Linked DNA regions of Saccharomyces cerevisiae S288C. The protein of the gene in region 1 purifies or fractionates together with the protein of each later gene. This does not show direct contact. Each region holds a gene or a part of one and is shown on either strand. Other genes may lie near its edges.

The links.
Region 2: the proteins of COX20 (region 1) and PNT1 purify together in Saccharomyces cerevisiae (affinity purification with western blotting; 2 studies listed by BioGRID, with this or other methods). This does not show direct contact.
Region 3: the proteins of COX20 (region 1) and COX3 purify together in Saccharomyces cerevisiae (affinity purification with western blotting; 2 studies listed by BioGRID, with this or other methods). This does not show direct contact.

Annotation. Positions count from the first base shown.
Region 1 is NC_001136.10:925,637-928,430, reverse strand, and holds COX20 (Cox20p), read left to right. Parts: upstream 1-1,520; coding exon 1,521-2,138; downstream 2,139-2,794. Other genes in the region: HEM1 (5-aminolevulinate synthase), read right to left, coding at 1-979; IVY1 (Ivy1p), read right to left, coding at 2,285-2,794. UniProt on the Saccharomyces cerevisiae protein: Involved in the assembly of the cytochrome oxidase complex. Required for the maturation and subsequent assembly of the mitochondrially encoded COX2, the precursor of subunit 2 of cytochrome oxidase.
Region 2 is NC_001147.6:819,276-822,831, forward strand, and holds PNT1 (Pnt1p), read left to right. Parts: upstream 1-1,747; coding exon 1,748-3,019; downstream 3,020-3,556. Other genes in the region: DSE3 (Dse3p), read left to right, coding at 1-883; RBL2 (Rbl2p), read left to right, coding at 1,179-1,499; putative serine/threonine protein kinase HRK1, read right to left, coding at 3,313-3,556. UniProt on the Saccharomyces cerevisiae protein: Probably involved in mitochondrial export. Confers resistance to the anti-pneumocystis carinii drug pentamidine. May act by the removal of pentamidine, or its damage targets, from the matrix by an active-transport mechanism.
Region 3 is NC_001224.1:77,041-80,522, reverse strand, and holds COX3 (cytochrome c oxidase subunit 3), read right to left. Parts: upstream 1,311-3,482; coding exon 501-1,310; downstream 1-500. UniProt on the Saccharomyces cerevisiae protein: Component of the cytochrome c oxidase, the last enzyme in the mitochondrial electron transport chain which drives oxidative phosphorylation.

The DNA.
Region 1 (2,794 bases):
GGTCCATCACAGTCTTCGCGCCGCCCTTGTCATTGGTCTTTGGGGTAGCAATACCACTTGCACGGTGACTTTCAAAATCACAATGTTCTGCAACACCTGCACCGTGAGGGCCGTACAGGCCGACCGCATGTACTTCATCCAAGAAGGTCAAAGCACCGTATTTGTCGGCCAAGTCGCAAATTTTTTCTATGTCGGCCACTGAACCGGCCATAGAATATACTGATTCGAAAGCAATTAGTTTAGGAACGGATTTGGGGTATGACTGGAGCAGTTGTTCCAATTCGTTCAAGTCATTATGTTTGAAAATGTGTTTTTTTACGTTAGCATGCTTAATACCGACAATCATGGACGCATGGTTGAGTTCGTCGGAGAAAATCACCAAGTCCTTCATCTTTTGACCCAGTAGGGATAAGACGGCATCGTTGGCTACGTAACATGACGAAAAAACTAAGGCACCTTCCTTCTTGTGTAAAGTGGCCAATTCGGCTTCCAGATTCAAAGTGGGGATGTTATGGCCAGCAATGTTTCTTGTACCACCGGCACCACAACCATACTTGTCGATAGTTTTATGCATGGCGTCCAATACCTCAGGGTGCTTGGAAAGTGCTAAATAGTCGTTGGAACACCAAACGGTGACCTTGTCCGCCTCTCTCTGGCGATGAGCTAGGGGGAACTCCTTGGCCAATCGGTTGATATTGTTGAAATATCTGTACGATTTGTCAAGTCTTTTCTTCTGCAGTTCGGAATCTATCAGGCCTTCGTAATCGAAACCCGACTCCTGGGTGGAATGGTTGGCAGCAGCGGCTGCTGCTGCTGCTGCATGTGTTGATGACGCTGTGGCAGTGGCAGCAGCGGCACCAGCACCAGTAGCGGTGGCATAGCCATTTTTCGCATGTGGTGCGGCTGTCGTGGACAGCCTATTCAGTGTGGAAACAGCGGCAGAGGAGTTACCGAACCTCGCAAAAATGGAGCGTTGCATACTGAAAAAAAAACCTAAGTACTGTTATGATTATTGAGGGACAACAACTAGCTCTATTAGTTTTCCTTCCAACCAAACTTATATGGGCAATATATAGGAAAGAAAAAAGAAAAGAGTGGGATAAAAAAAAAAGAAACGCGAGCTGAGAAGGGAAGGCGTGTAAAGGAAGAACGGTTGAGAGACAGCAGAGCAGGGTGCAACACACAACCGAATAGAGTATCAGCTGACGGAATGGAGAAGTTTGGTATGATGCAAACGTTGTATTTCTAACAACGCATGGATCAGAACAATGGGCAAGGCAAGATGAAAAATTTCCGTTCCTGCTCTTTCTTCATATATGAACAATGACCAAAAAGCGCCCGCGGCCGCAGACCAATGAGCGACGAAGGCGGCCTTTCCGAGCGGTAGGGTAAGCCGTGCAGGCAAGCTTATTATAGCACCGTCGGGGGTACCACCACTATATCAAACTCCACTGCTCGGTAAAGCATTGTAGTGAAGTCCACAGCAGTGCGTAACGAGCAGCTCAACAGTTAATATAAAGATGCGTTGGTGGCCGTGGTCAAATCAGACAGAAGATCAAAAGCAGCAGCAACAACCGCAGGGTAAAGCAGATGGTGATCGCGTGCTGACAAATTACTCGCGGGGTCAAAAGATCCTCTTAGAAGACACTCCACCCAAGTTTGCCGATGACTTGTCCAATTCTCAGTTGGCCAAGAAGCAAGAACGGGCTACTTTGAAAGAGGCTTGGGACTCGATCAGATGGAGTGATTTTAGTTTGCAGAAGCTGACTTCAATCCCGTGCTTCAGAGACGCGGGCATGCTCGGGTTTTCCAGCATGTTCTTGATGGGATCTATTATATTTATATACCATAAGAGCCCGACTAAGGCCACGAATTGGGCGATGAGCTCTCTGATACTGGGCTCGATTGTCGGATGGGAGCAATGTAGGCTAAAGAGACAAAAAAGTTTCCAGATCGCACAATTGGCAAAGGAAACCGTGGCGAAAAAGGAAAAACCAATGCTCCATAATGTCCCTCATGACCCATCTCTGCCGGGGCAATGGGAGGCCGCCAAAAATGAAAAGCAGAGTCAGTTTGAACAAAGTAACCAGAATTTATCTCAGGCCTCCTCTGAGAAGAAATGGTACAAGTTCTGGTGAAAAGAACGAGGGGGAAACAGAAGGTAGAAGCAGGGCCTTTTAACCGTTTTCCTATGTATATATGCAACATTTCTCCGAAAATACTATAACTTCAATTGTTCACTTTCTCCATTTCTATATAAAAAGCATACATAGAGTTACAAATTTTATATATTACTTGACTGGTCTTGCATGCCGTCCGTATCGCTGCTGTGATTGTCATTATCTTCTTTAATGGACAATTGTTTAAACGTTTGTGTGGTTTCCTCGGCAGAGTTTCTCGTAGGCGGTAAAGAAAATGAATTTTCTGTTCCCATCAAATTGTCTGTATCCTCATCTTCGCCATTTTTGCCGCCGCCATTGTTTCGTACCCCGTCCTTGTTTGAACTTGACTGTGAATGATTCGGTGTGGATACCGTTGAGGACCCCTTGGATTTGGGTAAAGATGTTTTTGATGTGGAAGGTTGGCTGGTTCCTTCTAGTAGTTCATTGAGCACCACGTCATTCCCACCCGTTTCCTCATCGCTGTTGTATGCTTCTCCAGCAGTCTCTCCATCACCACCGATGGTCCCGTATGGCCCATCTGCTTTTTTGCTGAAGGGGTCGTCTGCATCACAAAGTAGTTCGTCTAGCCCGCCTCCAGACCAACCTTTCCTTGCAATATTTTCAGAAATTTC
Region 2 (3,556 bases), on another chromosome or scaffold:
GTCAAAGCCTGCAGTAGTACAATCTTTAGGGCATAAGACACATTCGGATCATATTATTGATAAAGTGTTTGTCTCTCGCCCGGCCCCAATTGTAATGCCTGTAAAAGCCCTTACTCCTATTAATCCGGTCTCCCTAATGCAAACACAGACACAAGATTGCTGTAGAAAAAATAAGTATGGCAAAAGCGGTAGTGAAATATTGTTTGACGAAATTCTATCAGCCTATGAAAACGTTTCTACAAGCGATTCTACTGCCCTAAATTCAGAAATTGACAGAATTATCGATATATGCGCTTCAAAACAAATAGCTAAAAAAAATGAGGCATTTCAGGTACCATATGTCGTCTGCCCTGACGACACAGAGACTTTGTTTTCGTCAACAACACCAAAGTTGAAACCTGTCAATTCTAACACATTAAACGATGTCATTTCTAGCCCAGAATACACCACGTCTGGATGCAGTACATACTCTGACCAATCGAATTCAGATGAGGAATTGTCCGAAGTAGAAAGTATAGTATGGAACACGAATAAGAGGACAATGAGATCATCCATTGTGTCTGAAAGCACTAGTGAGGAAGGCTATTGCACTGCTGCGGAGACTTTGCCCTCAACAGTATCAGTGGAAGATCTGGATATACATAACAAGCTTCCAAAAGTTGCACAAACATCATCGTGCAATACGCTTTTGAATAAACTCTCTATAAGAAAATTAAAAAAAGTAATTCTCGATCCGCCTAAAATAATGCATGTCATGACTTTTGACGATGACAGTGATGATGGAGATGACAACGATGACGAGGATAGGGCTTTGAATATTCTTCAAAAAAAAATTGACTGCATTGAAATAGCAAGTTGCAGCAGTAGCATTTACAGCGAATAAAAAAATTTATTCTAGGTTTCAAGTAAAATCATACGTATATAAGTAGAATAATGGCATGAGCGGTGACACATTGTGTATTTGCACCAGAGGTGGTCATCAATAGAAAAGTGTCACAATTTCAACGATAAATGGCCGCTTATGTCGCACCTTTTGTAGTATTACCCGCAAAGGATCATAATGAAGAACTACTATGGCTACATATAAACAGAGCAGTTAGATACAGTGCGTCTTATAAGGGCATTTTTGAGCATAAAGCACAACAGGTTGAACTCAAGAAAACTACATTTCACTATCAATGGCACCCACACAATTGGATATAAAAGTCAAGGCCTTGAAGAGGCTGACTAAGGAGGAAGGGTACTACCAACAAGAACTGAAAGATCAGGAAGCACATGTGGCAAAACTTAAAGAAGACAAGTCAGTTGACCCATATGACTTGAAGAAACAGGAGGAGGTCCTTGATGACACAAAAAGATTATTACCTACTTTATATGAGAAGATTAGAGAATTTAAAGAGGATTTAGAACAATTTCTAAAAACTTACCAGGGTACCGAAGATGTCAGTGATGCAAGATCCGCTATTACGTCTGCACAGGAATTACTCGATTCTAAATAATCTATAGATAACCTTTTTCTTACCTTTTCGCATTTATTTTGATGCAGGTTTTTATACTTTATTATGTACAAACCTGTTGCGGATGAATAATAAATCTCGCTAGAAAATGCACGGAATATTATATGCAAAAGTAGAAAAGTGGAAGACGGCTGTTGATACAGTGACGAGATATAAGAACATTTTACTCTATATTTAAAAAGAACTTTATTAATCTATTTAATTGAGTTAACACCTTTAATGCCATCGATATGGATTCTCGAGTTGCACTGGTACGAAAATACATAGCACCATCGGTGATAAAAAGCGATTCTATTCAATTGCACGGTTTAGTGAAGGCACCACTATTTAAAGCGTTGAATAGCCGTTACAAATTAGGTTCACTACAGATAGTACAGGATGTCGATTGGAATGCGAAGACAACACCATCCGATTCTCCAGAGCCTCTGGCCGCTACTCTAAACTCTAATCGATCCCTACCAATGACTAAGTTCCCCAAGCAGGAGATCTTGGAACAGGTAAAATTGGATACTAAGGTTGGCAAATGGAGGAAATTCATGACAGGTTGGTTTAGAATTGGATTGTATCTTTTAAAAAGCTATAAAACAGGAATTCAGAACACGTTAAAAGTATTCTGGGATACTCGAAACGAAGAGCAGAAATTCAGCATAAAAAACGGTGCATTGGCTAACTTAGTACGGGAAATAGAAATGCATGAAATCAATACAAGACTATCGTCTTCATCATTGCCTACAAGTTCTTCAGCAAAAGCCCCATTAAGGCCACTTTCAATCAATAGGAAAACACTGGTGGAACTGATCAGACGAGATCAAATCTGGAAATTACCTGTATTTTTCACCTTAGTATTCATATTTGAGGAGGTAAGTGTATTGATCTTTACCTTTTTTCCACGTGTCTGTCCGTACAATTGTTTAACTCCTGGTGGATACAAGAAGCTTTCCAACTCATATATCAAGGGAACAACAAGCACACAAGGTAACTACGGTCTGGGTCCCTTAGAGTTTACTAAGCAAGGTACAATTAAGTATGAGCCACCATATGCAGTTCCTATTGAGAATTTGTATAATTTTCTGACAAGCTTTCCTCAAAGTATGATATCAAACTGGAAACTGTATATTTATAAAAAGTTAAAATTACAGAAGCTACTTTGCAATGAGATAGAAAAAATTTACCAGTATCTGTTTATCGATGACTGGTTGCTGTTGCAGAGTATACTCAACACTGATGTTGAGAAAACTAAAATCGCGCTAAGTGATAGAGAATTGGTTAACTGTATACTTGAAAGAAAACTTTATCACATGGGCGATGACTTGAATGAGATGGTTAATGACACGTTAGGGAAAGAAATCTTACTGAAAAGATTGTTTCTTTATTGGACATTAAGATATAATGACACTATATCCTTAAACGGAAAGCATACATTCAGTGAGAAATGGGGTGTCAACAATATATCATTGTTAAAATATAATTCAGAATTGGTAGCTACGAAAGATATTCAATAGATGTAAATATTCATGACATTATCTATGCTGTACATATTGTTTAAAACAAAAACTCTTTTAAACTTTTCTAATTGCAAATTCAAACAATAATTCAGTGATGTTTCTTGCTTTTGGAGCAAAGGGCAATGTTACTCTATATTGTATGTATAATATGATAGATACTCTTCCGTATATATAGTATATAGATTTTCGTCAAGCGTTTCAATTGGAAAGTGAAAGAAAAAAATAAGAAAAAATAGAAAATACAATTAAATTAATCGAAAAAAGAAGTGAAAATAATTGAGTAGTTCGTATTAAACCTTGTAGGTCTCTAAGTGAGCATTTTCCTCCCTAACCAATGTATGGTGATGGCCAGGCGCTCTAATAACTTTATTTTTTGAATCCATGGTACAGGCAGCAATGGCGGCAAACCATTCATCATTAAAAATATCATCTAAGGTTGCTCTTTTCTTTGGATCTACTTGCAGTATACGGGACATGATAGGTCTTGAAGCATGTGGTAGTAGACGTAATAGACGGTATGGGCCATGAATAATT
Region 3 (3,482 bases), on another chromosome or scaffold:
CGTGGCCGGGCCCCGGAACTATATAATATTTAATAATAATCAAATAAAAAATATTTTTTATAAAATAATATTAATAATATATATATATATATGAATTTATATATTAGTTAAATTAATAATATTTATATTATATTATATCATATTAAAAAAGTCCCGCTGGAGGTGAGGCGGTGACCTCGAAGGAATATAAAAATATAAATAATTACATTATTATATTATATTATATTAATATTATATTTTTTTTTTTATAAATATTAAATAAATTTATTAATTATCTTTATAAAAGGTAAATGAAAAAAGAGTATAATGATTATATTATTATTAGTTCCCGCTTCGCGGGAACCCCGTTAGGAGTTTTGAAGGAATAATATATAATAATTATATTTGTAAGAATATTATTATAATAATATAAAATATATATATATAAATTATAATATATTAATTATTGTTAATTATTAATAATATATATATTAATCATTTAGATATATAATTCTATAGCCTTAGACTCCTCATCAGTAGAAGACTACGTATAAAAATAATCAGATAACATCTAAAACATGTAGATAAATAATAGTTGTTTCATATCCAACATGATGTCCAGCTGTTAAATGATAATTTCTCATTCTTCAATAATTAACACCTAACATAGCTGCTAACATTACCATATGTAAGAAATGTAATCCTGTACCAGCATAGAATACTGAACCATAAACACCATCAGAGATAGTGAATGCAGCATTAGTATATTCAATATATTGACAAGTAACAAAAATAACAATTAATCAGAATGTAATTAATAAACCTGATAAGGCTTTATTTCTATTACCTGCGATTAAGGCATGATGACTATAAGTTACAGTAGCACCAGAAGATAATAAGATAATAGTATTTAATAAAGGTAATTCGGTAGGTTGTACAGCTTCAATACCTACGGGTGGTCAACATGCACCTAATAGTACATCAGGACTCATAGCTGAATGGAAATAAGCTCAGAATAAACCAGCAAAGATTAATACTTCAGATAATACAAACATTAAGAAACCTAAATTAATACCTTTTCTTACTGCTATAGTATGATCACCTAAATATGTAGCTTCAGCTACAATATCTCTAAATCATAAAATAGAACTTGTTAATAATACAAATAATGCTAAATATACCATATTCATATTACCAATATAACCATGCATTGTTAATGCTAGTGATAATGCTAATGATAATAATGCAAATGATACTACAATAGGTCATGGTGAAGGCATAACCATATGAAATGGATGTTGTTGATGTCTACTTCTTTCTAAATGTGTCATAAATTTATTGTTATATATATATTATATATATAATATAATTAAATAAATAAATAAAAAAAATATTAATAAAATATTATCCCTTAAACTATATAATAAAATTAAATAATAATATTAATTTAATAAATCTTTTATTTAATAATAATATAAATTATATTAAATATTTATAATAATATATTATTTATAAAATTATAAAATAAATTTATATATAATTCAATATATATATATTAATTTATATATTTAAATTAAATATAATTAAATAAATAATATAATCGAATTAATATCTCTTTCGACCGGATTATTTATTCAATTATTAATAATATAAATAATTAATTTGTATTGAATATAATTTATTTAAATATTTTATTATTATTATTATTATTATTATTAATTTATTAATATTAAAGGAAATATATTTATTATATTATATTATATATATTTTTTATTATTTATATTTATTATTAATATAAATCATTGATAATATCTTCTTTTTATTTATTTATTATTATAATTAAAAAAGAATCTTATATTAATTAATATTATTTATTTTTTTTTTATTTAATAAATAAATATTATTATATTAAGATAGATATAATATTATATCTAGATTTAGGAAATATAGGGTTCGAACCTATAATCTTTCGTGTGTAAAACGAATGCTATACCAATTAAGCTAATCTCCTTTATAAAATATATACTCCACAGATATATATCCAAAACTCTTATTAATTATTATAATTATTATTTTATTTATTTATATATATATAATTATAATAATTCATATAATTATTATAATCTTATAAATATTCCTATTGAAAATTATACTTTATAATTAAATTTATTAATAATTATTTAATTTAATATATAAAATATTTATTTATATATATATTTATATATATATATATATTTTTATAAGTAGTATATTATATTTTATATATAATAATATTTATAATATATATATTATAAATTATATATAATATATTATATATTTATTTAATAATTTTTATATAATTAATATATTATATATTTAATAAATTTTATATAATTAATAAGGTAAATATAATTTAATGGTAAAATGTATGTTTTTAGGTGCATATTATCTAAGTTCAAATCTTAGTATTTACAAAATAAAAAATTAATATAAATTTATTATAATCATTTATAAATTTATTATAATATTATTATTATATTTATTTATTATTAATAATTATTTATTATTTATTATATAATATTTTTATAATTATATATTAAATATATATAAATTTTATTATAATAAAACTCCTTCTTAAATAGGGGTTCGGTTCCCATGGGGTCCCTCACTCCTTACGGGGTTCCCGCAAAGCGGGAACTAATAATAATATATATTTTTATATATATATTAATATATATATATATTTATAACTCCTTTATTGATATTTATTCTTATTTAGAATATTTTTAATTAAATAATATAATTAAATGAATACCAAACTTATATTATATTTATATTTATATTTATATTTCTCCTACCGGGGTTCCGGCTCCCGTGGCCGGGCCCCGGAACTAAATATATAAACTTTTTTTTATAATATTATATTTATTAAAATATTAATAAATAAATAAATAAGAGATATAATATATATTTTCTTTGTATTAAATATATTATATATATATATATTAATTATTATAATATATTTATTATAAATTAATTATTAATTAATATATTATTATTATTGCCCTTAATGAGAATCGAACTACATGTAAATAAATCTTCAATTTATCGCTTTACCACTAAGCTATAAAAGCTATATATAATATAATACTTATTATTACTTATAATATAATATATATATATATTTATATAATAATACATAATATATATATATATATAAATAAAACATAATATATAATATATATTTTTATATTATTAATTAATTAATTTATTACTTATCTTATTATATATATATATAAACCTTTTATAATATATTAATATATATAAAACTTTAATATTATTAATTATTATATTTATATTTATATTTATATATATAATAAATATATATATATATTTATATAAATTATATAATAAATAATAATTATATTTTATTTATAATTAAAAATAATAATTATATAATATATTACTCCTTCGGGGTCCGCCCCGCGGGGGCGGGCCGGACTATATTATATATAAAATAATAA